Linked DNA regions of Callithrix jacchus. The protein of the gene in region 5 interacts with the protein of the main gene of each other region in a pairwise test. Links are inferred from orthologs where the notes say so. Each region holds a gene or a part of one and is shown on either strand. Other genes may lie near its edges.

What was found.
Region 1: the proteins of DISC1 (region 5) and RNF40 interact in binary tests that used the Homo sapiens proteins (3 or more experiments, as listed by UniProt). The link is inferred for Callithrix jacchus from reciprocal best matches to the Homo sapiens genes DISC1 and RNF40.
Region 2: the proteins of DISC1 (region 5) and EXOC1 interact in a two-hybrid assay, tested with the Homo sapiens proteins (2 studies listed by BioGRID and IntAct). The link is inferred for Callithrix jacchus from reciprocal best matches to the Homo sapiens genes DISC1 and EXOC1.
Region 3: the proteins of DISC1 (region 5) and DPYSL2 interact in a two-hybrid assay, tested with the Homo sapiens proteins (2 studies listed by BioGRID and IntAct). The link is inferred for Callithrix jacchus from reciprocal best matches to the Homo sapiens genes DISC1 and DPYSL2.
Region 4: the proteins of DISC1 (region 5) and TNIK interact in binary tests that used the Homo sapiens proteins (3 or more experiments, as listed by UniProt). The link is inferred for Callithrix jacchus from reciprocal best matches to the Homo sapiens genes DISC1 and TNIK.
Region 6: the proteins of DISC1 (region 5) and CEP63 interact in binary tests that used the Homo sapiens proteins (3 or more experiments, as listed by UniProt). The link is inferred for Callithrix jacchus from reciprocal best matches to the Homo sapiens genes DISC1 and CEP63.
Region 7: the proteins of DISC1 (region 5) and TUBB2A interact in a two-hybrid assay, tested with the Homo sapiens proteins (2 studies listed by BioGRID and IntAct). The link is inferred for Callithrix jacchus from reciprocal best matches to the Homo sapiens genes DISC1 and TUBB2A.

What each region holds. Positions count from the first base shown.
Region 1 is NC_133513.1:30,304,028-30,308,220, reverse strand, and holds part of RNF40 (E3 ubiquitin-protein ligase BRE1B), read right to left. Parts: coding exon 4,191-4,193; intron 4,070-4,190; coding exon 3,923-4,069; intron 3,830-3,922; coding exon 3,755-3,829; intron 3,102-3,754; coding exon 2,982-3,101; intron 2,888-2,981; coding exon 2,708-2,887; intron 2,525-2,707; coding exon 2,389-2,524; intron 1,114-2,388; coding exon 992-1,113; intron 908-991; coding exon 480-907; intron 392-479; coding exon 274-391; intron 172-273; coding exon 22-171; intron 1-21.
Region 2 is NC_133504.1:140,867,360-140,871,552, forward strand, and holds part of EXOC1 (exocyst complex component 1), read right to left. Parts: intron 4,052-4,193; coding exon 3,888-4,051; intron 2,951-3,887; coding exon 2,843-2,950; intron 1,644-2,842; coding exon 1,567-1,643; intron 711-1,566; coding exon 482-710; intron 1-481.
Region 3 is NC_133514.1:14,946,932-14,951,124, forward strand, and holds part of DPYSL2 (dihydropyrimidinase-related protein 2), read right to left. Parts: intron 3,722-4,193; coding exon 3,641-3,721; intron 2,962-3,640; coding exon 2,893-2,961; intron 1-2,892.
Region 4 is NC_133518.1:15,981,612-15,985,804, reverse strand, and holds part of TNIK (TRAF2 and NCK-interacting protein kinase), read right to left. Parts: intron 3,305-4,193; coding exon 3,193-3,304; intron 2,356-3,192; coding exon 2,185-2,355; intron 434-2,184; coding exon 290-433; intron 1-289. UniProt on the Homo sapiens protein: Serine/threonine kinase that acts as an essential activator of the Wnt signaling pathway. Recruited to promoters of Wnt target genes and required to activate their expression. May act by phosphorylating TCF4/TCF7L2.
Region 5 is NC_133520.1:53,272,927-53,277,661, forward strand, and holds the start of DISC1 (disrupted in schizophrenia 1 protein), read right to left. Parts: upstream 3,270-4,735; 5' UTR 3,202-3,269; coding exon 3,138-3,201; intron 1-3,137. UniProt on the Homo sapiens protein: Involved in the regulation of multiple aspects of embryonic and adult neurogenesis. Required for neural progenitor proliferation in the ventrical/subventrical zone during embryonic brain development and in the adult dentate gyrus of the hippocampus.
Region 6 is NC_133518.1:49,614,764-49,618,956, forward strand, and holds part of CEP63 (centrosomal protein of 63 kDa), read right to left. Parts: intron 3,270-4,193; coding exon 3,064-3,269; intron 2,265-3,063; coding exon 1,985-2,264; intron 106-1,984; coding exon 1-105. UniProt on the Homo sapiens protein: Required for normal spindle assembly.
Region 7 is NC_133505.1:27,486,651-27,491,297, reverse strand, and holds the start of TUBB2A (tubulin beta-2A chain), read right to left. Parts: upstream 3,280-4,647; 5' UTR 3,199-3,279; coding exon 3,142-3,198; intron 1,856-3,141; coding exon 1,747-1,855; intron 1,411-1,746; coding exon 1,300-1,410; intron 324-1,299; coding exon 1-323. UniProt on the Homo sapiens protein: Tubulin is the major constituent of microtubules, a cylinder consisting of laterally associated linear protofilaments composed of alpha- and beta-tubulin heterodimers.

The DNA.
Region 1 (4,193 bases), on a different chromosome or scaffold from region 5:
AGGGCATCACAGGGCCTGTACCTGCTTCGTGGCACCCAGCTTGCGCTGCAGGTGTTCTATCTGCTCCTCTGCCTGCCGAATGCGCCGCAGGGCATCCTCGTCAGCAATCTTCTTGCTCTCCCTTCGATCCCTCTCCTCCAGTTCCCGGATGCGGCTCCGCAGCTCATCCACCTACAACACAGGGGAAAAGAAGCTCTCTTGGCACCTCTTCCTGCTGACCTAGGACTCCGTTCTGGCCTCTTTGAATGCCCCACAAGCCCCAGCTGCCCTCACCTCAGCCTTGGCCTTGCGTTCCGCTGCCATGAGCTGCACCTTATCCCGCTGCTCCTTGGGCGCAGACTTGTACATGTCCAGCAGCAATTTCATCTCCTTCTGGCTCTCCTGGGCCTTCCTGGCAAGAAGGTACAGGAGGAAGTCTTGGTGAGTGGGACTGGGGGCCACCTAGCAGGGTCAGGAAGAAGACAGGAACAGAGGCTCACTTGAGCTCCGCTCGGAGACCCTTGAGGAGTTCTGATTCCTTCCGCTTGGCCTCTTCCACCTTGGCCTTCTCCCGTTCGGCCCTTGAGAGAGCTGAAGCTACAGGTAGAGGTCCCAGGCTGGGACCCTCCCGTTCCCGAAGCTCCCGCTTCGGCCTGGCCTCAGGTTCTCTGCCCCGGAAGGAAGGACCCTGGGCCCCAGGGGTTAAGGCCTGGACATCCTCTTCAGAGGGGACCAGCTCCTCCTTCTTCACTGAGGAGGCAGTAGTGGTGGTACCAGGCATCGGAGCCATCTCCTTTCTGTTGTCAGGGATACTGACAGGGCCTGGCCCACCCTCCTCTTTCCCTGGGGCTGGGGCATTGAGGCCAGAGTCCTCTGAGTGGCCCACATTGGGGGTGGAGTGGGTAGAGCCACTGGGCTGGGCCCGGAGCTGCAAAGGCAGAGAGGAAGAGGCATGAAATGATAGTGTTCAATGGAATCTAGCCAAAGCTTTTCCCAGGCAGCCCCTCCTCACCTTGCCAATCTCAGCTTGTACTTCTCGAAGTTTCCGCTTGTATCGCTGGGCATCCCCTTTTAGCTGGTGGTTGTGGTTTTGAAGACTACTAATCAGATGGCGCATCTCACGGTTGATGGGCCCTGGGGGAGCATCAGGAAGGGTGTCAGAACCAGTTCCTGGGTTAGGGCTCCAACCCCTCAGTGGGGGAAGAGGCTGTGCCATCCACTTCCACTGTGCAGGAGAGAACATTATGGCCCTGACTGAGCATGACCTCATGAAAGTAAAAAATGGTGACTTCAAGGAAATTCACCCAAAGGTAACTGGACACTGCCTATTCATATGACTTTTGCTAACGTAGAGCATTTGTTTTTGTTTTGTTTTTTTTAAAATAGAAACAGTGTCTCACTTTGTTACCCAGGCTGGTCTTGAATTCCTGGCCCCAAGTAATCCTCCTACCTTGGCCTCCCAAAGTGCTGGGATTACAGGCATGAGCCACCATGCCAGGCCTAGGTTTTGGTTTGTTTTTTAATATATCCAATTTCCTTTAATAGAAAGGTGTAACATTCACAGAAGTTAATCAACTTCTAGATTCTTAAACATCACCTTGGCTGGGCGCGGTGGCTCACGAGGTCAAGAGATCAAGACCATCCTGTTCAACATGGTGAAACCCTGTCTCTACTAAAAATACAAAAAATTAGCTGGGCATGGTGGCACGTGCCTGTAATCCCAGCTATCTCTGGAGGCTGAGGCAGTAGAATTGCCTAAACCCAGGAGGCGGAGGTTGCAGTGAGCCGAGATTGCGCCATTGCACTCCAGCCTGGGTAAGAAGAGCGAAACTCCGTCTCAAAAAAAAAAAAAACATCACCATCCCTGTTATATTTCCCTGGCCTCCCATCCAAAATTGCAACACCTTTCTCCTAATACTTCCCATCTTCCTTTTCTGCTTTACTTTCCTTAGTTTATTTGTCAGTTGCTAACACATTTTCCATTATTCTTCTACTAGTCTGTCTTCCTCTAGTCTGTCTTCTCCTATTAGAATATTGCTCCACATGGCAGGAATTCCTTGTTTTGTTCACTGGCATAACCCCAAACCCTAGAGGAGAGCCTGGCTCCTAGGTGACATTTGATAAATCTTTTAACACAAGTATCTGAGAGAGAGAAAGACACCATCAGACCAGAGGACTGTGGACAAGGTTGACAGCTCAAAGTCTGCATGTGCCTGCTCCATCAGCCATCCCATTTGGTGTGACCCTCACTGTGCCTGGGAGCCAAGCAGTGCAGGCCCTCTTTTGCATAGGAAGCTGAAGTTCTGTGAAAGAAAGGGGCTTAGCCTCTTGCAAGTGGATAAGCAGCCCCACATCAGGGACTAGCACTCCCAGATAAAGCCCCACCTCTGCCCTATCCTCACCACATACCCGCCTGCTCGTTGGCCGCCAGATTCTGCTCAAACTCGATGCGCAGCATCTCATACTCCTTGCGTACCTGGGCCAGTGTGTCCTCCAGCTGGATGACCTCTGTGCGCAGCTTCTTCTGCAGCCCCAGCTCGTCGCTCTGTGGGTTGATGTGTTAAGGACCCACAAAGACCCTTGGTCCCACCTCAGGACTCAGTGGTTTAGGAAGAAATCTATTCTCCAGGAACCGCTGGCAGGCACACAGGGCCTCTGAAGCCAGGAACACCTCAACACTAAGGGTCTGGCCCTTAGCCCAGCCCCTATGCCTGTTCCAGGGCCATACCTCCATGTGCTCGATGTGTCGCAGGTGGGAGTTCTTGGTAGCCAGCAGCAGGCCCCGAGCCTCGTCCAACTGGGTCTTCACTTGCAGAGATTCGTTGTACAGCAGTGAAAACTGGGACTGCAGGACACGGTACTCTGTCGTCTCCCGCACCACCTCCTCAGGAAGGCTCCGCAGAGCCACCTAGGGGTAGGGATGCCCAAATGGGATCAGTAAGATTCAGGGCTCAGCCCCTCCCTTCCAGGCACAGACCTTCTCAGCCCCTATGGCAGCCCACCTTGAGGCGCTCATTGGTCCGCACAGCCCCCTGAAGTTCGGCCTGCAGTTTCTCCAGCTCTGCCATGCGGCTGTTGGCCAATTCTTGGTTTTCCTCCAACTCTGCATTCAGCATCTCAAACTACAGAGTGGGAGGCAGGGAGGTGGGGCCAGGTGTGGCAGTAGGCCTCCCTTATATCCCCACCATACACTCTACCCCAACTGCCCCTGTGCAGGGCAGTGATTGATTCTGATGCCCCAAACCAAGGACTTTCCTAAGGGCTCCCAGACAAATTGGAGAAAATTCAATACTGCATGGTCAGAGCTGGGAACTAAGGCTCTTAACTGATAGGGAGTCAGGGAAGCATTTCAAGAAGCCCTAAAGTGACAGTAAAGGGAAAAAGGGCACAGTGACCACCGGATGCCAACTGACTCCAACTCACTTCCATCTCTCTCTTCTGTACTTTACCTTTGTGGTACTCATAACAAACTGATACATTATTTCACTGATTTCTTATCTGCTACCACAAGTAGAATCTAAATACATGTTCTTTTATTTATTTCCTGTCTGGTCCATGAAAGTTTTGACCTCTATTTTGTTCTTGCCAATATGCCTACTGACTAACACAAAGTGTTCAAAAATTTACTCAACAAGTATATGAATGCATGAAAAAAAGAGCAGCAGGAGTGACCAGGAAGGGCCTCAGCGGTGGATGTTTGTCCTTCGTCCTGAGGGGAATTTCAAGGGTGCAACAGAGAAGAGATCATGGGAGGGGCTGGGAAGATGTCACTCACCTTCTGCATGCTGAGTGTGATCTGCCCCCCCTGGAAGCCTGAGGAGCTCCCAGACACATAATAGCCAGAGTTAAGCTGGGGAGAGAAGACAGGCAATGAATGTGGAGGGGAGGAGCTAGGACCCCAGCACCCAGCCCTGTCTCACCTGCCCCAGCACCTCAGCCCCACCTGCTCTAAAGCCTCAGCCAGGTGCTTATTGAGCTTTTGCTCTCGCTTCCGCAGCTTCTCGATGTCCCACTGCAAGTCCTCCACTGTCGTCTCCATCTCCAACACCTTGGTCTCTGCCGATGTAACTTTATCCTGAAGCTCAGAGTACTGGGAACAATGAGGAAGCAGATGCTTGAATGGGGGACTTGGTTCCTGAGGTCCTTGAGTGCCCATCTAACCCAATTCCTGTCTCATTCTAATCCCACCCCCAAAGCCCCTGACTCCTCACCTC
Region 2 (4,193 bases), on a different chromosome or scaffold from region 5:
GGTCTGCCTCACAGTTTCATTATTCTCCTGCCTCAGTTTCCTGAGTAGCTGAGATTGCAGGCATGAGCCACCATGCCAGGCTAATTTTTGTATTTTTAGTAGAGACAGGGTTTCACCATGTTGGCCAGTCTGGTCTTGAACTCCTGACCTCAGGTGATCTGCCTGCCTTGGCCTCCCAAAGTGCTGGCATTACAGGCATGAGCCACTGTGCCCAGCCTCCAGTGGATCTCATGAACAGCTGCTGCCACTGTGCCATCTACTCCAGAACTTGCTCCAAGATTCAGTGTGGAAGAGAAACTAGCTGGCATAGTGTCACCCAACTAACTCTGTTCATATAGATGGTTTTGCCATGCCCTGCTTTGAGGGACATAAACAATAGATTCCCCCAACAGAAAGCTAGCAATCCCTCAATTTAAATACATATATCTATATTTTGCAATCAGTAGGATGGTAAGGTATTTTTTTAAAAAAGAAAACTTACAATGCATTTGTCAAAGTTCCTTTTGACAGTCACCAAAACATTTCCCAATGTAGTACTTAGAAAAGAAGCAGGGTCCACATTTTGTGCAGTCCACACATGATGACTCATTTTGACTAGCATATAAAGAGAGTTAAAGCTATCAATTTTGTCTCCTAATGCAATTAGGTTGTTCAGCTCTGGCTCAATGCAGCGAAATATTTTAATCATCATTTGGCGGATCATATCTTTCCTGTTCAGAAAACAGACAAGATGTATAAAGTTACAGCAAGCTTCAGGTGAATTCACTTTTAACTTTAATCCACTGAGTATATACAAAAAGATTAAATTTCAGTTAAAAATGTCTAAATAGCTGGGAATGGTAGCTCATGCCTATAATCCCAGCACTTTGGGAGGCCAAGGCAGGCAGATCACCTGAGGTCAGGAGTTCGAGACCAGCTTGGCCAACATGGTGAAACCCTGTCTCCACCAAAAATACAAAAATTAGCCAGACATGGTGGTGCATGTCTGCAATCCCAGCTACTTGGGAGGCTGAGTCAGGAGACGCTTGAACCTGGGAGGTGGAAGTTGCAGTGACCTGAGATGGCACCACTGCATTCCAGCCTGGGCAGCAGAGGGAGACTCCACCTCAAAAAATAACAATAACAACAACAACAGTGACAAAAAAAAACCAAATAAAAATGTCTAAATATGATTATAGTAGTTTTTGACATAAAAATATTTTATTGGAGTTGGGTTTTATCATTTGAATTAGCTTTAATTTGTAAAAGTGGGTTATGAAATGTGCTTTATGATTTCTAAGAAATACACTGCAATTCAAACGCTTCCTCCTACCAGCAAACAACAGACTGACTTCATCTTTTGTGAGTCCTGGAGCAAGGAAGAGTTGAAGAGCCATAAAATAGGACCAATTTTAAATCAGTAAAACGTTTGCTAAGACAATGGACATATATGCTAGTGCTGTGAGCGCTGTCAGGCTGCTGAGAAATATCTGGACCCCTCAATGAGTAGCAATCCATGTTTTAAAGTTTGTTGTTGTTGTTTTTTTTTTTTTTCAAAATAAACAATAGATAGTAACAAAGACATACTCAGATGAAACTGGCAGTGGTGTGCCACAATTATGTTGCCGTGATAATGTTCCTCCATCCAGGTCCTCTGCTTCAGCCTGTAAAAATTATTCAGGCACTTTACGTAACAAAAGACAACAATTTGACTAGTATTTATAGAGCAAAAGCCTGCTCAATTTAAAAATTCCTAGGAAAGAATACATTATGAAAAATAATGATTTTTAAAGGTAGCATTACTGATAAAGGTAGCTATATAATTTAGTATATTAAGACTGTTCATGAGCTACTCTGTTCTTAAATTTTATCCAAGAATTTGTGTGGGGTGAGAAGCTGTATTTGTATGTGTGCACCTGAGGGGAAGTAGGGAGGTGCAGGAAGCTGAACACAAGGTACAGGAATGGGGGCAGCTCGACAACAATAACCATAAAAATAGAAAACGTCCAAACCCAATTTTTAAAAGAGAATTTAAAAAATTACAGAAATCTCATCAAGTATTCAAATAAAACTTCAGTATTACAAAAAATGCTATACAATTTTTTATAGAAGCCAACAAACAAATTTGCCACCATTATTACCATAACAATGAACATTCTAAACTGTCTATAATAATTAATTTCTCATTTATTTAACGACTGCTGTTATATGTTGGTTTTCTGAACCATACAATTTTGAGATGATAATTTAAAACACACTTTATTTGCACTGTTTTTAAGTTCTTCAAAATTTTCAAGAAACTGTCTCCTCTTAATTCTCTTACATGTATGCTACCAGAAAGGCATGCTGAGTAGGCACTACAATATCCACTTTACAGAAGAGGAAAACTGCTGGCTTAAGATCTCGTAGCTAGTTAGTAACAAAACCAAAAGGAAGACAGATCTAAGGCCTCATTTTCTTTTATTTATCATTATGATCATTTGCTATACCATAATGTATACATTCAAACATCATTTTTAAAACTTATCTTTGTCTTGATGACTACTAAAATGTTAAAATAGCTTTTTAAATAATGTTCTTCACAAACTAAACTCAGACATTCCTCTCCCCAACTAATTTAGAGAATATTTAGGCTTATCCATATTCTGAAATATTAAATTAGATGCCCAAACTTCAATTGTCACTGTTTTTATTATCTTGTGGTATGACAAAAATTCCTTATATCCTAAATCCTTACTGCATAAATTCTTACATCATAAATTCTTTCCTTTTCTCTTCTCATAATAAAATTATGACCACATGTTAATTAAGCTAATTATGTTACAGATCATAAATACTAGCCAAAATACATTGTGAGCCATACCATAGTTCCAGGCATACTTTGATGTTGCTGCAGTTTGAAAAATTTACTTATGAAGTCCTGTTCTGCCAGACATAGGGGCTCCAGTTCACTTAGCACCTGTTCAAAGATCTGAAGAAAACCAAAGTCATCCTATAATGAAAGAACTTTTAAGCACCAAATGCTTAAAATAACACTCCACGTTTAATTCTCTTTCCTGCATGGACCATGGATCCATAATCTCATTAATCTCTATCTATAAATTTATAATCTGAATGGAATCCCAAAGACTAACTCTTCCAAGATCAACAGGACAATGGTATTAACAAGGTGTAACAAGACCACAAAACATACCTAAAATAAAACTCAGTTATTCACTTCAAATCTAGAAAGAGGAACACAAAGATCAACTTTTAAAACCATTTATGGCCAAGCATGATGGCTAACACCTGTAATCCCAGCACACTGGGAGGCCGAAGCAGTAGGATCACTTGAGCTCAGGAGTTTAAAACCAGCCTGGCCAACATGGTGAAACCCTGTCTCTACTAAAAATACAAAAATTAGCCAGGTATGGTGGCGGGCGACTGTAATCCCAGCTACTCGGGAGGCTGAAGCAAGAGAATTGATTGAACCTGGGAGGTGGAGGTTGCAGTGAGGCCAGACTGTGCCACTGCATTCCAGCCTGGGTGGCAGAGCAAGACTCCATCTCAAAAACAAAAACAAAAAAACATATTTAATGCAGTACAGAGAAAGGTTAGAATCACAAAAGCTTTATTTCCTCTTTACTTTCTAGGTGCTCAGAACAACTTAGATTTGAGATGCAAGCATTTTATGATTTATCACAAATTTTAATACATTTTTTATGTTATTTCATTGATAATTCACATTTTGCTTGCCCTTTGACTAGTTTTTTTTTCCAGATTCAATTCCATTGGGAAGTAAGATATGGTTAATGCTTAAGAGAGCCAGAAGAATCCAAATCTTTGAACACACTTAAAGCAACCACACACTGCTGTTAGAAAAGAAAACGAATGTTAGTGTTTAAGAAGTACTTGTTATTTTAGTTTACCTTGTCAAATTTGGTCCTGTCAGCAACATCGAGATCGGAGGCAGACATGTTTCCCATATCCAGCAGGGAAGATGACTGAGACCTGCGATTCCCTGAACTCTGAACACTGAGCTTATTTAGACTAGAAGTAGATCCAGTTAATTTTCCCGAACTTCCATGAAGACCTAAGAAATAATAAAACTTTGAAAGTTGTGATCTTTAGAAATAAATGATCCAAAGTATAAAGCAGGGACAGATCTTGGTCTTCCAGGGCTCATATTAGTTAGTGCACAATCTTCTATATGGGATAGGTGATATAGTTTCCTT
Region 3 (4,193 bases), on a different chromosome or scaffold from region 5:
AAATATCTTTTCTTTATAAATTACCCAGTCTCAGGTATTTCTTTAGAGCAGTGTGAAAACAGACGAATACAAGCAAACAGAATAACAACTGAGTGCTTTTTCCTCTTCGGTAAAGCCAAGACCCTTTCTGTATTGGGTTCTTCTCTGCAGAAAGGAGGAGAAAGAAGGAATGCGAGCCCCTTGGAAGGCTCTAAAACTTAGACAAGAGGAGGGTCTCAGAGCAGGAGCCTCCTCTGGCATTTGCTCTTCTCAGAGGATGTCTTCTCACCACCTGTACAGCTGGTACATGGCAGGCGGAGGGACTGGCTCCCAGTCACCAAACAGGAGGAAACTTTCTAATGAAGCGCAGGCCCAGGTGTGGCTTAAAGCTGCATGTGTGTGCAGTGCGGGAGGGGTTGGGTAGCAGGCGGGACCCTGCACTTGCTCACTCTTTGCTTTGATAACAGGGCAGTCATGCTTTCGAAGTGTCCTCATGTAAAGAAAGAGATAACCAAGGAGCCCACGGCAGCACAACTCTGGTCCCACCACACATGGGGGTAGAATGTAAATGGTGCTCCCTGGATACAGCCATGCAGCCTGCATGAATAGCACCCCCTGGAATTGTGCAAAGAAGATGCTGTTGTACCTCCCGCACAGGAAAGTTACAAAGGTAAAATGTGAGCCAGGAACACAGCGTCCAGGGCGCGTGAGCACTAAGTGAAGGCAGCTTTGAACAGGGCCCACATGAGAACCCAATCAGCCCTCCACCTCTCCCAGACTCTATGCATTTCCAAGGCCTGATCCCAAGAATGTTTCAGGGCTGAACAAAGGATCACTTCCAGGGAGGTCAGGGCTGAGGGCGACCACGGTTTACGTGACCATGGTTTAAACCACCCAACAGGTGAATCCTGGGGGATCTAGTGAAGGCAGTCCCCGAAGCCAGCCTGGAGGGAGAAGTGAAGCCACAGAAGGGAACCTTTGAGGTGTCTGCAAAAGTGGGATGGTGCCTGCACAGGTGTGAGCAAGCACATATGTGCACGTGTGTGTAAGAATGTGTGTATGTGTGCATACCTTGTCTGTCCTTGCACAAGTGTATGTGTAACGTAAAATGTGTATACACGTGTGCTTTGCACCTGTGTGTGAAAATATGTATATGTGTGTTTATGTGCATGTCTGTGCCTATGCACGTATGTGTGTGAATGTGGGTGCATGCGTGTGCTTGTGCACGTGCATCTGTATGCACACAAAGGTGCATAAAATCAGCCTCAGGCATGTTTATCGTCAGCTGGTCTTAGCTTGCTCTCACCTGCAGGCTGTCCCCTGGAGTCACTGTCCACCAGTCACCATCTCAGCACAGGGCTTTCCTCAGCTGACACAGGGGCCTGCCTGCCTCCCTGATCCTGAAGGATGAGGCCACCCTTTCAGCTTTTAGTGCACATGACAAGGTTGATGGCTACAAAATGGCCTGCATCCCTGGCCTGGAGCAGCAACATACAATCCTGAAAATGTCATGGCTTCTGTGCTGTCGCCTGGGGAGAGGAATACGTCTCTTCGGGGCCTCAAATGGTACTGAAGGTGTCTTGGAGCATGCATGTCTGTATATCTGCCTGTGTGTGTGTCTAAATGTCTTTCTGTATGTCTACAGTGTATGAGTGTGTGTGTGTGTGTGTGTGTGTGCCTATGTCTGTGGGTACATGTATGTCTAGAGCGCATATGCATGCAGCAACAAGGGCAGAACAAAGCATGGACCTTGCTGTGTGCAAAGCATTCCGATGGCTCCCGCTCTCCTCTTTCTGCCTGTCTTGCCTCCTTCCTCCTCTTCCAGCCTCATCCCTTCTTCTCAATTCTGAATGGTTCCCAACAGCCCCCTCATATACCCAGGCAGTACACAAATGGCTCCTTCGCTCCCAATCCCTCCTGAATCCACTTCCTCATCACCGGGAGCAGCTCCCCTCCCAACCTGGTACCAACAAGAATACATCCCAAATTTAGTAGCAGCATAATGCTGACACTCAGCGACTCGGTGGCCACAGCCCTGCAGGGAGCTCTTGCCAAGCTCCTCCCTCATGGGCTTCTGGAGCCTCCTCACTGTCAGCCGCCACTCAAGCCCTTGGTGATCTGACACCCCTGCTCTGCACCAGTCCCTTTTCTACCACTTCCTCTCATGAAGGGGAAACCCTGGTGGTTCCCTAGAGATTCCCCCATCACATTCTTCCCTGCAAGCTGCAGGCTGCTCCCTAATCAGGGCCCCTAGAGCCTGACATCCGGCCTGTCATTAAGGAGCCAGCTTCTGAAAAGTATTTCACAGCCACAAATTCTAACGGAGGAACACAGGTTCTCCATCACCTAAGACGTGCGCACCCTCCCTTCAAACTCACACCCCTCACCAGGACGGTGATTCTCCACCTTTGGACCAGCACAGGCCCCTGCTATGAATTTTTCCCCTACAATTTCAAAAGATTCTGTCGGCCAAACTCTGCGTATCATGTGATATCCTGTGCAGGGTTACCTTGGAAAAATTTACAATTCCCCATATGCCTTCTAGACATTTAGATTAGCTTTTCAATCCTTCCAACTAGGTTTCGGTGAACTTTGGGAAGACCTTAGAGACCGTAAGTTGTGAAACACTAAAATCGAGACTGCAGGATGCCAGTGAAGAACTGTCTGTGTCTACATAGGCAAGGGCTTGGAGAGTAACATACAGAAAGAAGACTCTTCTGGCCAGACAGGTCACACCACCTTACCCTCAGGAGCAGCCTAACATTTCACTTTGCCTATGTAGACTGACACACACACACACACACACACACGTGACCCACAGCTTCTCAGAAAGACCAAAGTCAGCATCAGAGATGCCCCCTTCTCAACACGGGTTCCCTGTGGCTCTGCGCATTCTGCCTGGCAGACATTCACCTCCTCGGGCCGGCTCAGCACATGTCCCTCGGGGCCCGTGATGCCCAGATCCAGGATCCTCTGCTGCTCCTGCAATGTTTAGAGAAAGCCAGGCTGTGAGGGAGAGCAGACTTCACACAGCTCTGATGGCAGAAACCCAGCATGCAGTTATCCGGGTAAGATGGAAAACTGTCACTGCCGACTGTTGTGCCCTCATCCCAAGACCTCAGGAAGAGAAGGGTTTGCTGCCCTGTTCCCAGTCCCGCCTGAGCAGGATGGATCAATTACAGCCTCCCAAAACCACTCAGCTGTTCCCTGGGATGCTGACAGCTGGTACATCTGTGGCCCTCAGCCACAGTATAAAATGTCTGTGTGTGACATCAGGGTTCCCGCACCCCACCCAAGGCAGCTGTGTTACAGCGCCAAGAGAAATGGTCTCTCTCTGCAATGGTAACTGACTAGGTGTTCTGTGGGAAAACAGAGAGACACGTGTGTCACGGGCATTCACGCCATGGGTGAGACTGAGCGAAAACGGAGAGACACGTGTGTCACGGGCATTCACGCCATGGGTGAGACTGAGCGAAAACGGAGAGACACGTGTGTCACGGGCATTCACGCCATGGGTGAGACTGAGCAGAGCTCCCGCAGGGAACACTGGGTCCCTCTGCTTTTCCACCTTGGTGTTAAGCTACAGATGTCGCCTCCCTCTCTTGAGCCTGGCTCTTGCCCTCCAGGTGATGAAGAAATGATGAAAAAGAAAGCCCGGTACCTCTGCAATGATGTCGCCATTTTCTGCGTGGACTTGGGCTATGGCGCCAATGTCCCGGATCACACTCAATACTTCATAAATCTGAAAGAGAGAAGGATGGGGTCAGAGACAGGGGACTTCCATCTTCCTGTTCACAATGACAATCATCTCCCTGCCGGCAGCATTTCTGGGATGAGAAATAGGACGCGCAGGCTGCTTCTATTAGCCTGGTTTTTTTGACATGCCCAAGGGCAATGTTTCTGGCCACATTTGATGGAGACCCGTCAGAAATTAACAGAGGCAGCACGACGTAGCAGGACGTGGACCAGGAGTAAGCAGCTCTTGAGTGACACCTGGCTCTGCACCAGGTTTGCTGAGGAGGTTCTGAGTGCCCCTCCCAGACACGCCATGCTAGGCAGAGCCTCAGATCCAAGGTGGTGGAGTGGCTGGAGGCCAGGGCACTGGGTTCATACTCTCTTTCAAGGTTCAATTACATCAGCAACAGCAACCACCAGCCACTTCCCGGGAAGCTCGGAGACATGCATACGCTGGAGACTGTTTTCCCCAGCCACAG
Region 4 (4,193 bases), on a different chromosome or scaffold from region 5:
CATCTGAAGATCCTTGCTGAGTCCTGACAGATGTAAAGAGCTATAAATATATACCCTTTGTGGTGTGTCTGTGCCTAATTCAGATTCAATGCAGAGGTGACAGACTTTTTTTTGGAGGTCACAGTCTTCAGTGTTACAAAATGTGGGCAACCTTACTCTGGCTATACTGCTATACTTCAGTGTGTTGCTTGTTAGCTGGGAAGGGCAGAGCTAACTGTTTCTGCAGAAAAGGGGTGGTCACCTTTCCCACCTGTTTGGACGTGGGGGACTCATCATTTTAGTAACATACCTGAAATTGTCACAAGGACATTCAGTCCCTCTAGCACATCCATCTGCTGAAATCGCCTCCGGTTGATCAGATTATAGACTTTGCCTTGCCCACTTCGATCCAAAAGCATCAGGCCATTTTCAGTCCCCACCAGAAGGTTTACACCTGTAAATTTAAGAAGCACCGTAAGACTGACTTTTCACAAACTTTAATCTTCGGCATCAAGAGTCCCTATAAAAATCTAAGAAACTGTGACTTGTAAATATAAACTAATGAGCAAGCAGGTAAATATAAACTAATAAGTGTAGAAGTAGAAGCTCTGACGTAATAATTAAAGCATTGTACTTCTGGTAATGAAATCACAATTTCCTTTTGTAAAGTTGTAGCTTCATTCACATGTCCTATTTACTACCTAATGCAGAGAGTCCTTGTCAACAGGGGCCTTGGGCACAGATATGAAGCTAGCATAATCTTCCTTTATTCCTTTCCTGGAACAACCACTTCTTTCTTGGCTCTCCCTATAAATCTACTTCTCTTCTTCCCCAAGGTTCACCCCACCCCCGTGCAGTGATTTCTAGCCTGCCCGCCTTCAGTGTACAATGGAAATTTCATTTCCATACTCCATTGGAAGAAAGGCCCTTCCTCCTCCTTGAACCAAAATCTAACTACCTTATGCCCCTTACCCTCAAGTTTCTGCTCTTTTTTGGAGAAATTATAAATTCATTCAAGAGAAGTGTCAATAGCTGGAGAGTCACAAACATACTCATTTAAGGGACTTCTCAGTTCTCTAAATCTAGTGCAGCCCAACACCCATGCAGGAATCCCTATTCCAGAAGCACAGGCAGGTAAGTGGTTTTGTCTGGGTCGTTGTAATCCTAAAAATGCATTGCTAGGGAAATTTATCGTCCACCCCTCTACACACACACATTGAGACGCTCATTGTGCAGTGTACTACATTCATGAACATGTAACTCTCCAACTTATCTTACTTATTGTACTTCTATCTTCTGATCAACACAAATATCTGCTTTTTTGTCCACATATTAATCCTTTTAAATTAAATGTGGCTATCTTGTTCTCTTCTGTCCCTTCTCCAGAGGACAGAGCATCTATCATGAAATAGTTCTAGGCTTCACACTCTTTCCTACTAACATCTCAAATGCTTTCAGCCCTTGAAAAGTACAGTTCCCCAATTCCAAGCCTACTGTTTTCAATGGGTACATAGGGAACATGCCCTTCCTTAATCTGTATAAGATGTTCATAGTAACATAGACCAAGACTTTGACAGAATTTCATCATGCCTATCCTGGGTCTGAGGTCAGCTAAAACCTGCAGATATTTTTCACAAGAAATGCAGACTGATGTTTTAAACTAAAAGGCAAAGTTCATCATATTATTTGTTGTTCTCTTCAAGTTTTATCTTGTTACTGCTAGTGGTATGACCTTGGATAATTCACTAAAATCCTCTGGGCTGGTTTTTCAGCTTGAAATGAAGGGTTATGCCATGATTTATGTGCTTATTCCCCTCGCAGGCTGTATGGATCATGGAGAATGAGCGTGGGGTATATCACGAAGTGCCGGACACAGCTCACCTCTGATTGATCAGATTACAGACCTTGCCTTGCACATTCAGTGTATCAGGTGGTAGCTAGTTCTCTTGTTGGCTTTAGCCCATCACTATTTTGCGGCAAGGTTGTTTGAATCTAATCGCATCATCCCGGCTAGTAGGGTGTCAGCTATTTCTACATATAAAATGGCTTTTGGTCTCTCCTGAAGTCAAGATAATCCCAAGCTAGGTATCTGATACCCACCATTCAACCAGTGTTCTTTTGATGACAAGATCCACGGGCTTTTCCTGTTTGGGGGTCAGTTCATTAGTAAGAGGTTATTAAAAAAAAAAAAAGGCACTGACATACCCCACAGAGCTGCACAAAGTATTTCTGAGTTGAATCGTTTCTTGTATTTTCTGATTTCTGGTGTGTCGCTGTGAGGCCGAATGTTGGTTGGGTTTACGTTTACCACTGAAATCTTTCTTGCTTCATTGAGTTTGGCCTGTTCTTGCCTAAGAAGTTCACTAGTAAACAGAGCTTTGAGAAAAAGAATCAGAGAAGTCAGTGGCATCTTAAAGATAACCTATGAAGATGTGGAGATGAGACTTCAAAACACTATGATTTCTCCTTGTTGGTTTGAATTATAGTAAAGGCAAAGAAACACTGAAACTCTTCTTATTTTACACTTTTAAAAAAGTGAATAAAATATAAGTCATTCATCAAAGCAGTGTTTCATTAATTAGCAAAACAGGCTTATAGACACTACTTGGACAGCTTAGAAAGTTGATATTAATCTCCCCAAATGAAATACACCATCCCCACTCCTGTAATATAAGCAAAAAAGATCTACTTTTTGAAATTCCAGAGTATCAATTGCAAAACTATCCTAAGCTGCTTTGATGATTAATTACTTGAAGAACATTAGAAAGCAAGACCCTCCTCTAAATTAGCCAGATTTTTGTAGTGGGAAGCACACACCTAGAACTCAACACAATGCACCATGCACTTATTAAGGGCCTACTGTGTGCAAAGCATTGTACTCAGAAATTGTTTTGGGGAAATATTTGGTTATGTTCAGAGATCACTGAGGAACAGCTTTCCTAGGGTCTCTATATACCCCTGGGTCTACCAGAAACAAAACAGAAGAGATGGAAAAAAAAAAATGGAAATAAGTAAGTTTGTTTTAAGATACCTAAATAATAATAATTTTAACAAAAATTTTAACAAGAAATAATAATTTTAACAAATCTTCCTTTTAAGACAGGACATAAGGAGTAATTGGCTTAACTACTGAACTGAGGATTAATTTTCTTATCAGGCTGTAACAGAAGGAAGACGAAGCTGTTTTTAAAACACTGGGCCCTTCTTGCTTACCTGCAGCTGATGATTCCTCATCCTCTTCATCTTCATCAGTGGGAGACGTCTGGTATACTCTGGGGTCCACAAAGGGGGTGAAGGAGGCTTTGGTGCTGCTCCCCATGCCATACTAATCAATAAGCAAGAAGATTAAGAAGCGCAGATAAATATGCAGGACTAAACAATGCTAACAACCCTGTGCTTGAGCTGTAAAATGATCATGGATTGTTCAGGGTATTCAGCTGTTCATATTCTAGCGCCCTAGTCAGTGTGTGCCTCTCTCCAGCTTCTTCTGGTGTTGATTATTCACTAGCCATTGTGCATTTGTAGGACTTCATTCATTATCAGACTGCAAGAATTGCAGTGAGAAAATTACATTGTGAACCACGTACGGCACCTTAAAATCTGTAGGACCACTGTGGTGACAGAGCTTTCCTCTCGCTTTCAGTAAAAGCAATCTCCTATATCGATCACATGGTCAATATGAAAATCTGACGCAGTTGGAAATAAACTAAGTAAGCCTACACGGCAGCACTTGGTCCTGAACACTGAGTCAACCCAAGGAGCTTTCTCTTGGGGAGGAGAACTTTCAGCCCTTTCACTCTGGCCTGGTGATGCAAGTGGATTGGTATTGCCTCCAGAAGTTTTAAAATCTTTAATTCAGGGATGATATTATTCTGGAATTGAAGATTTTTTCTTCCCATGACAGTTTCCTTAAAAGAATAATTACATCTTTATTTAGGGACTTCATGAAGATATTAGGTTTGTGGGCAATGTACCTTGAAGGCTTACTTTGAAAAATGAATCTCAGGCTTGGAGAGCACCATGAAAACATGATGTTGGAAGTAGAAGAGGGAACAGTACACTCAGTCTCGGGGTTTCATGTCACAATATTCTAAATTTGAGTTTTGCTGAAGGAGCTGCAATGATGTCAGTCATGTTCCTTGCTCCTACTGTTCTTAACTTTTAACATCACAAATATATCTGTATTCAACATAATAAGCACATCTTTTGTGGAT
Region 5 (4,735 bases):
AAATTGACTTTTTTTCTACAGTAATGTCACAATGTTTGAGCAATTAGCAAGTGCTATTTTTGCCATTTAACCAAAATAGTAATAATTTGCATCCCATTTTTGAAAGACACAAACGGATACATGCAGCATAGAAAAATGAGTTACAAGAGGCTGGGCACGGTGGCTCACGCCTATAATCCCAACACTTTGGAAGGCCAAGGTGGGTGGATCACCTGAGGTCGGGAGTTCAAGACCAGCCTGATTAACATGGAGAGGAATCCCTGTCTCTACTAAAAATACAAAATTAGCTGGGCATGGTGGCACATGCCTGTAATCCCAGCTACTCGGAAGGCTGAGGCATGAGAATCGCTTGAATCCGGGAGGCAGAGGTTGCGGTGAGCCAAGATCACGCCATTGCACTCCAGCCCGGGCAACAAGAGCAAAACTCCATCTCAAAAAAAAAAAAAGAAAGAAAAAGGGGTTACAAGAACAGAGACACCAAGCTATTTGTCTACCTTGCTGAGATTACAGTAGTTTTTAATGTTCATTTACTAGTTTACAGTTTTCTGTGCTTCCTGTAATGAGCAAGCATTGCTTCTGGAAAAATAAAAACCCGTAAGATAAACTTAATTTAGGAAACAAGTAAACTAGGAATTGTTTCTGCAGCACAAAGAACATTCATGCTCCTCTCAGAAGTTTCTGCTTCCTCTGGTGGCATCTTGGGTGAGCAATGAGCTTTCTGCAGAAAAGTCCTGCGGCCCAGCCCTGCAAGGTAACCACGACACCCAAAGTCTGGATCCCTGTTAACACCTCATGTGGCATCCTAAAGGTTCTGGCAAATGAATGGTAAAACAAAGCATTAATCCAGATACCACTTTGAGATTTGCAATGAGATCTCGCCTTCTGTTCCTTCAATGTTTTAATAACTTTTCTGCAAATTGTCATCATTCATTATACAAGAAGGTAGTTTAAAGTATATTTTATAAAACAAGGCTGAAAGAAATTAGAATTACCCCAAAGCCTCTTTTGCCAGAACTAACAATTCAGTCTTACATTTTGGGTCTATAGATATGCAGGATGGAAGCTGGGCCCAGTGGCTCATGCTTGTAATGCTAGTGCTTTGGGAGGCCAAGGTGGGAGGAATGACTGAAGCCAGGAGCTCAAGACAGCCTGAGCAACATAGCAAGACTCCATCTCTAAAAAAATAATTAGCTCGGCATGGTGACATGTGCCTGTAATCCCAACTACTCAGAAAGCTGGGCCAGGAGGATTGTTTGAGTCCAGAAGTTCAAGGCTACAGTGAGCCATGACTGCGCCACTGCATTCCATCCTGAGTGACAGAGCAAGACCCTGTATCTCTTAAAGAAAAACAAAAAGTTACCTAAAATCTAATATAGGTCTGTTCTGAATCACGGCTCCACCCTATAATTTCAGTTTGGCCAGTGGCCGAGAACACAGCTGTGAGTGGCACACACCAGGGTTCTAATCCTGGCTTTATGCTCAAGAGCTCTGTGAGCTTGGGAACCAAGCAGGGTGACCTTGAACCTTATCTTTGTCATAGGGAAATGAGGACTGTCATCCCAGTCCCATACAGATATGGGGAGGAGTTCATCAGAGGAATTCCTAATGAAATGTCTGGCACATTTTAAGTTCTAAAAATGCGCAGATATTATTCTTCCCTCCTAGTACTATCATGTGTGATATGTGCTTAGTGACTCACACTCCGCACGTAAGGTGCCTTCAGATCTTTTACCTCATTTGATCCTCAGACAATGCGATCAGAACAAAAGGCAGTAATTACTACCCCCATTTTTCTTTTATCTTTTATGTAAACAGATGAGAAAGCAGGCTCAAACTCCAAGAGCCAGAAAAGCTGCATGTCTCTTGTCCAGGGCTCTTTTTCCTCTGTGGCACAAAACTGAACCTCAGACGACTTCATGTATCATGCCGAGTGTAAAAAACTACATTTATTTTTAAATGTCCTGCTATTCCTACATTAATAAAATCCAACTGGTATTATCACGTTCCTCCCAATTATTTAGAGTTTGCTTAGTAAAAACAGCCACTAAGGTTTTTTGAGTGCACGCTGGGTATCTCAAGCATTGGGTGAGGTGCTTCACGTCCACGGTCACAGTTAAAGTGCATAACAACACTATGAAGCAGGTACTGTGATCGTGTCCACTTAATAACGGGGAAATTGAGGCATCGGTAAGTCCAGGATTGACATGCAGACTGTCTCCAAACCCCAGCTCATGTGGTCCTAGTGTTGTTCATCTCAAGTTTGTCTGGACGATGATAACACTGCAAAGTGAATTCCCATACAACAAAGCTAACGACACAGGGAGGCCAGATTATAAGTGTTCTCTTTTACAGTTCAGGAGACTGAGGCTCAGGCTTAAGTGACTGACCCAGCCCTGTCCTCACCCAGCAAGGACACAAGGAAGCACTCCCTAACTCCAAATTTCACTGACTTTGGAAAACCTCACATTCCTTTGCGAATATTTTAAGAGTGATGTTGAAAAGCAACCATCCACTCAGTGGGCATCACTAAGAGCTGACCGCGAGACCCGCGCTCCGGCGGTGGAAACCGAGCAGTCTCCGGCTTGGGCCGTGGGCGTGCCTAGTAGGAAGTGGGCGGTGGAACTGATTTCAGAGCAGCCCGTAGCCGAGCCACAGGCACCAGTTCCTGGTCCCTCTCCCAGCCTCCTCCCCCTAGGTGCCCGAAGGGGTGGAACCAGAGATCCAGGGTTTGGGGATTAAGGTGGGTGGGACGTCCCCTGTCCCGTGGGGGCGCAGGCTGGGGAGCACCGCAAGGAGAGTGAGCGCGGCGCAGGTGTCCCGGGACGGATCCAAAACCCAAGCACGCCCTGGCAACCCTCCCCGGTCACCAGGACACGCAGCGGGGGCGCAGGTCAGGGGATAGCTGCACAGTCCTGGGTCTGGGACCTGGCCCGGCTCGGCGCTGGCACCGGGCTAGCAGCCCAAGACTGGCTCTTCTCTCAACCCCGCACGCCGCGCGTCCTGCCTCAGTTTCCTCACCTCGAAAGGGGTTGTCAACAGAGGCACGCCCCGACCTACAAGACTTCCTGGGGGCCAGAGCGCGCCCTCCCTGCCAAGACCCCCCAGGACATGCTAGGACGTGGTGGCAGCTCCCTTACCTGCGCAGTGGCCCACGCCGCCGCCACAGGCGGCCGGGGCGCCCTGAGGACGCCCGCCTGGCATGCTCCTCCCGCTGCCAGCTCCTCCCGCTCCGCCCGAGCGGCTGCTGCTCGCTCCCCGAGGCCAGAGGCGGGGGAAGGGAGCGGCGCGCAGGACGGAAGTGGGGAGGGGGCTGGCGACGCAGGGGGCGGCTCCTTTCTTCTCCTTTGCCAGGCCGCGGTTTCCTTTCCAGGGTTGGCCCCTCACACGCGCGCGCACACACACACACACGCACGCACACACACACGCACGCGCACACACACACGCGCACGCACACACACACGCACACACACGCGCGCGCGCACACACACATGCACACACACACGCGCGCGCACACACACACGCGCACACACACACGCACGCGCACACACACGCACACGCACACGCGCGCGCACACACACACATGCACACACACACGCGCGCACACACACACGCGCACACACACACGCACGCGCACACGCACACACACGCACACGCACACGCGCGCGCACACACACGCACGCACACACACACGCACGCGCACACACACGCGCACGCACACACACACGCACGCACACACGCGCACGCGCACACACACACACGCGCACACACGCGCGCGCGCGCTCACACACACGCGCACACACACGCACACACACACACACGCACACGCGCGCGCACACGCACACACACGCACACACGCGCAGCTGGAGCGGGCGGGCCAGCGGCCCTCACAGCCGGTTTCCGGGATCTCGGGACCTCAGGAAGTTTGCTTTCACTGTGGCTCATTTCTGGAGGAAACGAGGGGAAGTGCGGGAGGCCTTCAGCACCGGGTAGAGGAGGGCGCCTTCCAGACGCGTGATTTGAGAAGTGACCACACAGTGATGGAGAAGATGGAGGGATGTGAGAGACTCAATTATACAAAGTGCGGAGGGTGGGGGGAACAGTGGGGATGACCGATGACCCTGAAAAAAGATGAGTGGCAGCAGATGTTTAGAAATGAGATGGAATTCCAATTTCTAGCATCTTCCAGCCGCTCTGGAGTGGTTCCCGGACACAGGCTGGTTTCAGGACACAGGAGTCCATGCAAGCTTGCTCCTAGGCCGCTGATTCAACCCTTCTCTTTGGTTCATTCAAGGAAGCTACTAGAGCACCCCCTAGGTAGCACCTGCTATATAGGACAATGGGTACAAGGAAGGGCTACACGTGGGCTCTGTGTCCTTAAGCAGCTCCCCTCCAGGCCAGAAGGAGAGCACGGGCATATGAAACCAAATCACATCAGGAGCTAGAATGTGCCATGTACCAGAGGCTTGGCACAAACCTTCTTGCAGGTGGCTCAGGGATAGGAGGGAGGGTTGTGAAGAAGGATTGGGGAGACGTTCTACAGGAAAGGGAAGGCTCTCCTCAGAACGAGAGGAGTTACAACTAGAGGAAGGCTGAGGTCCTTCAAAAGCTGACGATCTTATGAGTGAAAGCATACAGTTGTGCCTAAAATTCGTGTTTTGCCCAGCATGGTAGGTAGTGCACTCCCATCGTTTCAGCTACTCGGCAGGCTTAGGTGGAAGGATTGCTTGAGCCCAAG
Region 6 (4,193 bases), on a different chromosome or scaffold from region 5:
TTCAATATGGGCATCCAAGCGCTCTAGAATGTGATGAGACCTCAGTTCCTCCTCTTCCAAAAATCTGGTAGCTATTGAACCAAGGGGAGATACAGGCAAGGAACACTGGAAGAGAGACAAATTTTGACATGTGTAAATGAGTGTTACATTTCTAAGACACACTGTTCATGATATTTTCTAACTAGCAATATTAAAAGGTGATTTTTTTTCTCTGAAGAGAGTTTTTTTGGTTTTTATCCTAAAAAGAGCAATAAAAGAAAAAAAAAATCAGTAAGTTCTGCAAAAATTAACACTCATCTCTCCCTTTCTGACCCAAGGTGCAACAATGTAAAGTATCATAAATAAGTTATCAGTTTGAAAAATATTTCAATTTAGATGTCTATATCCTTCTGTAGTTAATGCCTATGATTTCAGACTTACTTTAAAAACCTGAGCATGTCACTTTGATTTTAAAGCATAGAAAATTTAACAAAAATAAATTAGATGCCAGTTAAAATCAATATTTTTTCTCCTCCAAATTTTCAGTCCACAGTCCCCTATCTGAAACCCTTGGGTCTAGCGATGTTTCAGCATTCTGATTTTAGAAAGGTAATATAGAACATATGCCATATGTAGTCAGTACTCATTCCCAATAGCAGTAGTTGTGTTCTATGAAGTCACCCAAAACACTGAAATAGGAAATACAAAATTTTTGGCCCAGGGAAAATATACACATACAACAAATTCACACACACACACACACAGAGTATAATCCTAAATCCTAGAACAATTCATTCTGGTAGATTTTGTATTTTTTTTATTTCATATGAGAGACATGAGGTTCAGAAGTGGTAACTCTCCTGAGGCCGCCCCACTAACTGGTGCCGAAGTTGGGATTCAGACTCCATCCAACTGGCACAGAGCTGAGCTTCTTTCCCTATACTGCACTGCCCCTGCCGTCTCTAGCTTCTGGTCACCTCCACGTAAGTAGGGACAAGAAGGCAGAGTGTTGCCTACTTTGATCTTGGCTGACATTGTGCAAACTGGTCACTCAAAATTTTTGCCACTCTGCGTATGTCCACGAATGACTTTGGGAGTTATAGAGTTTAGGGAGTATACAAATTCACAAATACAAAATCTATGAATAATGAGGATCAACTGTATTACCCCAGTGGAGTCTAAGGGAACTTTCCATAACCAAACACACACATTTCTGAAGCAAAACACATGGATACTCACACTAAGTAGAATAGGGAAAGTCTATACATATTAACACATCAGTTCAGGCCAGGGAAAGTTTTAATGCCAAACAATTTTTGCTGCTAAACTTAAGAAGAAAGTGAAGTGAGGACTTACTCTAAGAAATAAAAGAAAACCTTTCCATGGACTTGGTGGCACATAGTAAGTCAAAAATACTGCCTTTTCATGGCAATATGGCCACAGCTGGTGACAGGAAATGACGGGCCCATAGCAAGTACTCTGGCACAGAAGGCAAAAAGATGGCACAGCCTGCACGGCAATGAAAGGAGCAAGGAACTGGCATGGCATGGTGTCCTAGGCACAGACACTCAAGCCATGCTCTGCACACATCAGAGGCACAGCCTTCTTCCACCTCTGTGCCTCCTTTCTCCTTTCCAGCAGTTCCTCTTTTCCTCCTTTACTGCCTGTGCCTCAGGACTATCTTGGCATCCAAAGACATTTCTTAAACTAACCATTCCAGCAAAAAATTGAGCATCTCTGAAAAGGACAGGAAGGGAATTTCCAATTACGGTTAAGGACAAATTAACACCTTTAATTTATGTTTCAGAACTAGGATATATTTTGAAAAAAGTTGTCTTGGCTGAATGTATCTTTATAAGCAAAAACTGTATGACAGGGATACCTGAGAAGAGTATCTATGATAAATGAATCAATAAGAAAACAAAAGAATCACCCTCTTCACCCTTAAAAAATAAAATCAAACTAAAAACAATAACAAATTAAGAAGATCAGAAAGTTTCCATACCGAAGACATAAACTCTTCTTGGTCATTCATACTCTCAGACACAGTGTCAGAAAAACTGGCTTCATTTGTATCTAGCGCTGAAGGCAAAGAGTGAGTTTTACACAGAGAGTAGGAAGTCAAAGACCTGGTGGAGCTGCAAGGGCTGACTTGAGGACTCAGGGGGCTTAGCACCCTGGACATGGGGTCTATACTATCCGACGCTCGTCCTCTTGGAGAATGAAGACCTGTTTTATAGTGCTCAATCTTTATTCCATCATGTCTGTGCTGGCCATGGGTTGGCCTGGATGATAGATTAGAAAACAAAACAAATAGAAAATTGTAGTAACTTTTCTCTTTCCAACAAAAATGTAGGAACTTTGCTTAAGCAAATAGCCTAACTAATAAGGCTAGAATTTACAAAATTAGCCACCTACTCAGATCAGATGTACTTTCATTCATTCAGGCCCCAAAGATCCAATCCCCACTACCAGGTACCTGCCCCCTCAAATACCTATGATATAGCCAAGAAAGATAATCTGCCAGAGTAATCTAGTGTGGTTAGTGCTAAGACAGAAGTACTGGGCACATAAGAAGGCACCTTACCTCACTAGCAGGTTGGGGTAAGTACAGGAATGGAAGTGAGGGTGACAGCAAATGCTCTGGGTAGGAAAACATGTAAGCCTTATAGTATAAGCTGAAGCCAGGTGGTTTTTCACTGAATGCTTACTGCTTACGGTAACAGCCTATAACAAATTGACTAAAATCACAAAGGAAGCTGTTTATAAAAAGCCAAATTCTACTTCTTATGGGGCAAATGGGGTTGAAAAGGTGGGAGGGAGCATGAAAAGCCTCATGTAATACACATGTTGTTTATACTGACAACCAGAGTGTACAAAACTAAAGCTTTAATGAAAATGCTATATACCTCCCCCTGATTAATTTAACATGATCATAGCTTTACTTGTGCACACTATACTTCAGAATTAAACATGGAGCCCTTTGATGAAGATTTAATTTCCGTAAGTCAGAAATTATTTTCAAAGAAATGAGAATTATATTGTACCAATACACATTTTAAATAAACTTTTAAGAAATTTTACTTAATCTCTGTATTCTTGAACTCAGTTGTTCTGCTGTGTGTTGGTTTAAAGATCCCGTCATTTTGTTTTTTGCATATCTGAGTAGAAATATCCAGCTGAGATTTGGTATTCATCAAATCTTTCTGTAGTTGTTGATTTTCAGACACTAATTTATTTAATGCCTCAATATAATTATCCTGGAGGTCGGCTAGTGAAATCTCTTTTGCCTAATAAAAAAGAATACTAGAATCACTTAATCTGTACAAGAATACTTATGATCTGTGATATTGCTGGTTGGAAAATTCAGTATTTTTTAGTTGTAATTATTTAATCTATGGCTTTAATTTAGAAAAAGTGAAGCTTTCTTTTTAGTCCTCGAAAGACTAACAGAGAAAAAGAATTCTTCAAGTAAATGGTAGTGGAACTCTAGAAGCACAATGGGCTTCCTTATGTGCCAAGGAATTCTAAGGAGGTGGAGGAAAGATGGAACTAGGATGAAGGAAAGCTATAAGAGGGAATCAGAAACAGGGAAAAAGAAGAAAAATGGCAGCCATGTTTCTTCTGCAAGAACATTAAGGTTGAATAACCCCAGAATACCAAGGGAAGAAAACAGAGACCTAGTTCAAGGAAAAAAATTTGAACAAAAAGTTCTGAGAAAAATATCTGGCTGGCAGACACAACTTTTAAATAAATAATTTCTAATCTTAAACACTTTTCTACAACACTGGCATCTACTCATATATAAATTTGGACATGATAAAGCAGGATTCAAGTATACAGTGGGAATTACTATTCTGATCTGGTATCAGAAATTTTATTGTTCTTCAATTCTAGGTGTTTCCTGGTAAGACACTACTTGAAAAAATGGCAGTCTGGGTGATTATTTTTTTCTAATGACAAAATAATTAGTATTCTGCAAAGTTATGGTAATCTTCTTTGGAGTTTAATACCATAGTTGGCTTGCTCTTTTCTGTAAAAAAAATCTGAAAGTAAGCTGGTCAAGAGTGGTCTGACAAACATAATATTCCTAACAAAAACATAAACTTTAGAATATACCTGTGAACTATCTGTGTACAAGTAGTGACTACAAGCTATGAAATCTTTCAACAAGCTGCCAATGTCAGGTAAAATATCAGGAAAGAACATTTGCA
Region 7 (4,647 bases), on a different chromosome or scaffold from region 5:
GTAGGTTTCATCTGTGTTTTCCACCAGCTGGTGGACAGAGAGGGTGGCATTGTAGGGCTCCACCACCGTGTCTGACACCTTGGGTGAGGGCATGACGCTGAAGGTGTTCATGATGCGGTCTGGGTACTCCTCCCGGATCTTGCTGATGAGCAGGGTGCCCATCCCGGACCCCGTGCCGCCCCCCAGAGAGTGGGTCAGCTGGAAGCCCTGGAGACAGTCACAACTCTCTGACTCCTTCCTCACCACGTCCAGGACCGAGTCGACCAGCTCAGCTCCCTCTGTGTAGTGGCCCTTGGCCCAGTTATTCCCGGCTCCACTCTGGCCTGCCAGAGGGAAAGTGACTATTAGACACTCAGACATAAGGAATTTCAAAATCTGTCATTTTGACTATGGAGGAGAGTGTAGGACTGATCTTACACTGGCAGATTCTTCTCTTTTGAATACTCTTCTATTACCTAAAGAAATATTTTTGTCAGTGAGCCTCAAAAACATGGGCTCATAATAAAGTAAAAAGCAAGTTTAGCTCATCTGAGGCTATTGACTGAGGAAGAGGATAGGGTTAGAAAACTTAGTTGGTTCTGAAATACCTACTTTTTTTTTTTTTTTGAGATGGAGCCTCACCCTGTTTCCCAGGCTGGAGTGCAATGGCACATCAGCTGACTGCAACCTCCACCTCCCAGGTTCAAGGAGTTCTCCTGCCTCATTCTCTTGAGTAGCTGAGATTACAGGTGCACACTACCACGCCTGGCTAATTTTTTTGTATCTCCAGTAAAGACAGGGTTTCACCATGTTGGCCAGGCTGGTCTTGAACTCCTGACCTGATATGCCTGCCTCGGCCTCCCACCAAAGTGCTGGGATTACAAGTGTGAGCCACCTTGCCTGGCCACAGTTCTGAAACATACATTTTAAACAGGCATTCTCTTTATATTCAAGGTGACCAGGAGAGAAGGTGGCTTTAGCATCAGTCTAAGCTCTAGTCATAACCTGTACTTTTGGCCCCTGGCTCTTTGAAGTCCTTTCAAGTTGCCTGTAGCCTATGAAACCTGGCCTGAAGCTTTTCCTTGCTCTTTCTTCCAGTCTGAGGCTGCTCTGTAATGGGAGGGCTGCAGCAGCCCTCTGCAGGCTGGTGTGGATCTCTGAGCCATGACCACCCGTGGACTGGGTGGAACTAGGCCAGGACTCAGGGCTGCCCGTGGACACAGTGTCACCTTGGCAGTGAACACTAAGAACTGTGCTTTGCAGGGCTGTGAGGAAGAAGGTGTGGCATTTGGCCAGTTCCCACTGATGGTGACTACATACCGAACACGAAGTTGTCTGGCCTGAAGATCTGGCCAAAGGGTCCAGACCTGACGGAGTCCATGGTGCCAGGCTCCAGATCCACCAGGATGGCCCGAGGTACATATTTGTTACCTGCAGGGAACGAGAACTGACTCAGACCTGTACTTGGGGGGGACTCACAGCAACATTCATTAAAGACAGCTCCAGCATCTGAGACAAAAGGAGAACAGGAGGTTCTCTGCTTTTAAGAAAAAGGAGGTCTTGAGTGTGCTTAGCCGTGGCGAACAGGCAGGATTCTTAGGGAACCATTACGTGTGTTTTTCCAGCAGTTGGCATTTGAAATGAATATGCAAGAAGCATGCCTTTGTCACGTGCATGTTCCTAGGACGGTTCATCTCCCACAGCATGGGAAGCAAGGATTCCTGTTAGGAAGAAGGAATGTTCTTGCTAACACATCCCGCTACTCACCAGCAGCCTCATTGTAGTACACGTTGATTCTCTCCAGCTGCAAGTCACTGTCTCCATGGTAACTGCCTGTGGGGTCGATCCCATGCTCATCGCTGATGACCTCCCAAAACTGAAATGAAAAAAGATCCAGACCATGGCCCAGCGTCCTGAATGTCACTAAGGATGGCCTTGTCCTCCTCCCATGTCCTTGGAACAGGGGCTTTTGTGGTCAGACGGTAAGTGCTAGACAGAGAGCAAAGAGCTGCACCCCCTATTTCCTGCAGCAGCCACTGCTGAGGGGCTTGAAAATCCGCAGAGCATCGGCCATATTATGGCGATAGACTGAAAGGCTGGGAGGGGCCCTGGAGGAGGAGGGGGCACAGCAAATGCCCTTCTAGAGAGAGGGTCAGGAGGGTAGAGAGGTGGGAAAGTGGTACAGGGAGGCTCTGTCACCCCAGGCAGGGCTGAATGCCATTGCATCGGGGATGATTGATGGGTCGTGGCAGGACTGAGGACAGGGGAGCCCACACTGTGGCAGCCTCCAGGAATCAAGCTCTCTTGGCATAGATCCCAGGCACCCCTGCAACAGTGCAGGTTTAAGCCACCGATCTACATGCTGGCACTGACCACAAGAGAGACTGGGCAGGGAAGGGCAGCAGGAACCTGGGAGGACGCCTGGGTGGCAGTGGAAGGAGCTGGCCATGGTGAGGGCGCTGGCTCCATTGTGAATTTAAGACAGGGAGGGGGCGGGGAGGCTGGGTGGGCAACATGGCGGTTCTCAAAGAGACCACGTCCTTGTACAGGCACCACCCCCACCCATGCAGCAAGCCGGCTGCTGCCTCCCACACAGCGGTCGGTAATTGCAGCCCCCACCCAGCACAGTCACCTGCCACCTCAGGGACTGGCAGCAAGACTATGGCGTTATAAGACTTCATGTCTAGACAGTGCCGGAAATAGGGAACAAGGGAATTTATCTAACACCCTCGCCTGTGTGACCCAAAGGGAAGCCTCTGTTACACCTGTCAGTCCAGTGACACTGCATGTTTTCATTCAAACCGTTGAGAAAAATGTACAAATTAAATATCTCATGAAGCTAGCGGAATAAATATGACCATATCCTCGCCCCAAGTTTCTGAGACTAATACACCCAGCGGAATGCCAACTGCGTCCCGCAGAAGGGCTGTGTCCCAGGGAAATCGAAACGGCGCCGACTAAAGACTCACACGGCTACGGGGGCCGCGGGCATCCTGGCGGGTTGTGCAGCCTCCCCCGCCTTGCCCGCCCGCCTCTCCGCGGAGTGTACCACACGGCCAGCCCCGAGCCACCGAGGCTTCCCACACCCGCCCCTGCCCCGACCCCGGCCCCAGCCCGCACCCTCCGTCACCAGCCCGGGCCCCTCCGCGGCGGCGCGCCCACCTTGGCGCCGATCTGGTTGCCGCACTGGCCCGCCTGGATGTGCACGATCTCGCGCATGGTGCCGGCTGCGGAGCGGGTGGCGCTGGCCCTCGGAGCGGTGCGCGGCGTGGACCGGCGGGCTCGGCTGCGCAGAGACCTGCCGCCGCCCCCCAGCTCCACCTTTTATAACCGGGGACCTGCCCTACCCTGCGACGTCATGATGGGCGGAGCTGCGCCCGCGCGAGAGGCGCGGCTGGGACTGCGGCACCGCGAGGGGGAGCCAGGGCGCGGTGCGAGATGCGGGGGCGCTCGACCGGTTGCGCCTGCCGCTGGGTCCCGAGTGGGCGCCCGGCCTTGCTGTCTGGCGGCCAGTGTGATGCCCGGACCTCAGGCCCAGCCGCAGCCCCCTGCTCGATCTGCGGGCGCCGGCCTCCCCCTGGCTCTGGGTTAGCTCACGCCGCAATCCCCACCCCACCCCGCCTACTCTGGACCCTAGAAGAGGGGCTAGAGACTGGAGAGGCTGCCTCGGAACAGGGTCCTAGCCCCCAGGGCCGGGAAGAGGCGTTGAGTACCATTTGAAGTGGGGAGCTGGGAATTGAAGACCCATTTACAGAGGAGTCTCCAGCGGGTGGAAAGGTTTCCCGCATCCTAGGCAGGAGCTTGGACTCTGCTCCCGCTCCATCCCAGCTGGGACGCCGGTGCTGGGTGGCGGGGACAGCGTGGAGCGGAGTGGAGAGCTCGGGGGAGCCGACTGGCAGCTGCTTGAAAGGAATGCCAGGATGGCGGGGTGGGTGGCCTTTCGCCCCTACAGGGAAGAAAGATGGCTTTGTGGGGGGCGGGGCGGGGGCCAGAAAAGGACTGGATTTGTCACATGTCCTGGGCTCCTGCGCCCTTGTAAAGGCCTTTTAAATGTGGAAAATTCTGTGTGTGCGTCAGAGAGGAGAGACAGGAGGAATATATCTGCCACGTTGATGTGTTAGCCTATGGCCCTGCCCCCTTACACCCCTTAGGTCACCTGATCCTCACAGAAGCTTTCAGAGCTGGGCTATCCAGTTTGGTAGACCTTAGGCACCCGTGGCTGCTGAGCATTGCAACGTAGGTTGTCTGAACGAAATATGCTGTTCAGTGTGAAGTACACACTGGATGTTATGGGCTCAGTAAGTTAAAATAATGTGAAATATTTCTTTATTTATTTGTTTTTGGAGACGGAGTCTCACTCTGTCACCCAGCCTGGAGTATAATGGCTTGGTCGGCTCACTTTAACCTCCGCCTCCCGGGTTCAAGAGATTCTCCCCCTTCAGCCTCCCAAGTACCTAGGACCTACAGGCGCATGCCACCACACCTGGCTAATTTTTGTATTTTTAGTAGAGACTTTCACTATGTTGGTCACACTGGTCTCAAACTCCTGACCTCATGATCCACCTGGCTTCGCCTCCCAAAGTGCTGGGATTACAGGCGTGAGCCATTGCACCTGGCCTTCATTACTGATTCTTAAATATTGATGGCCAATCAAAATAATAGTGTTTT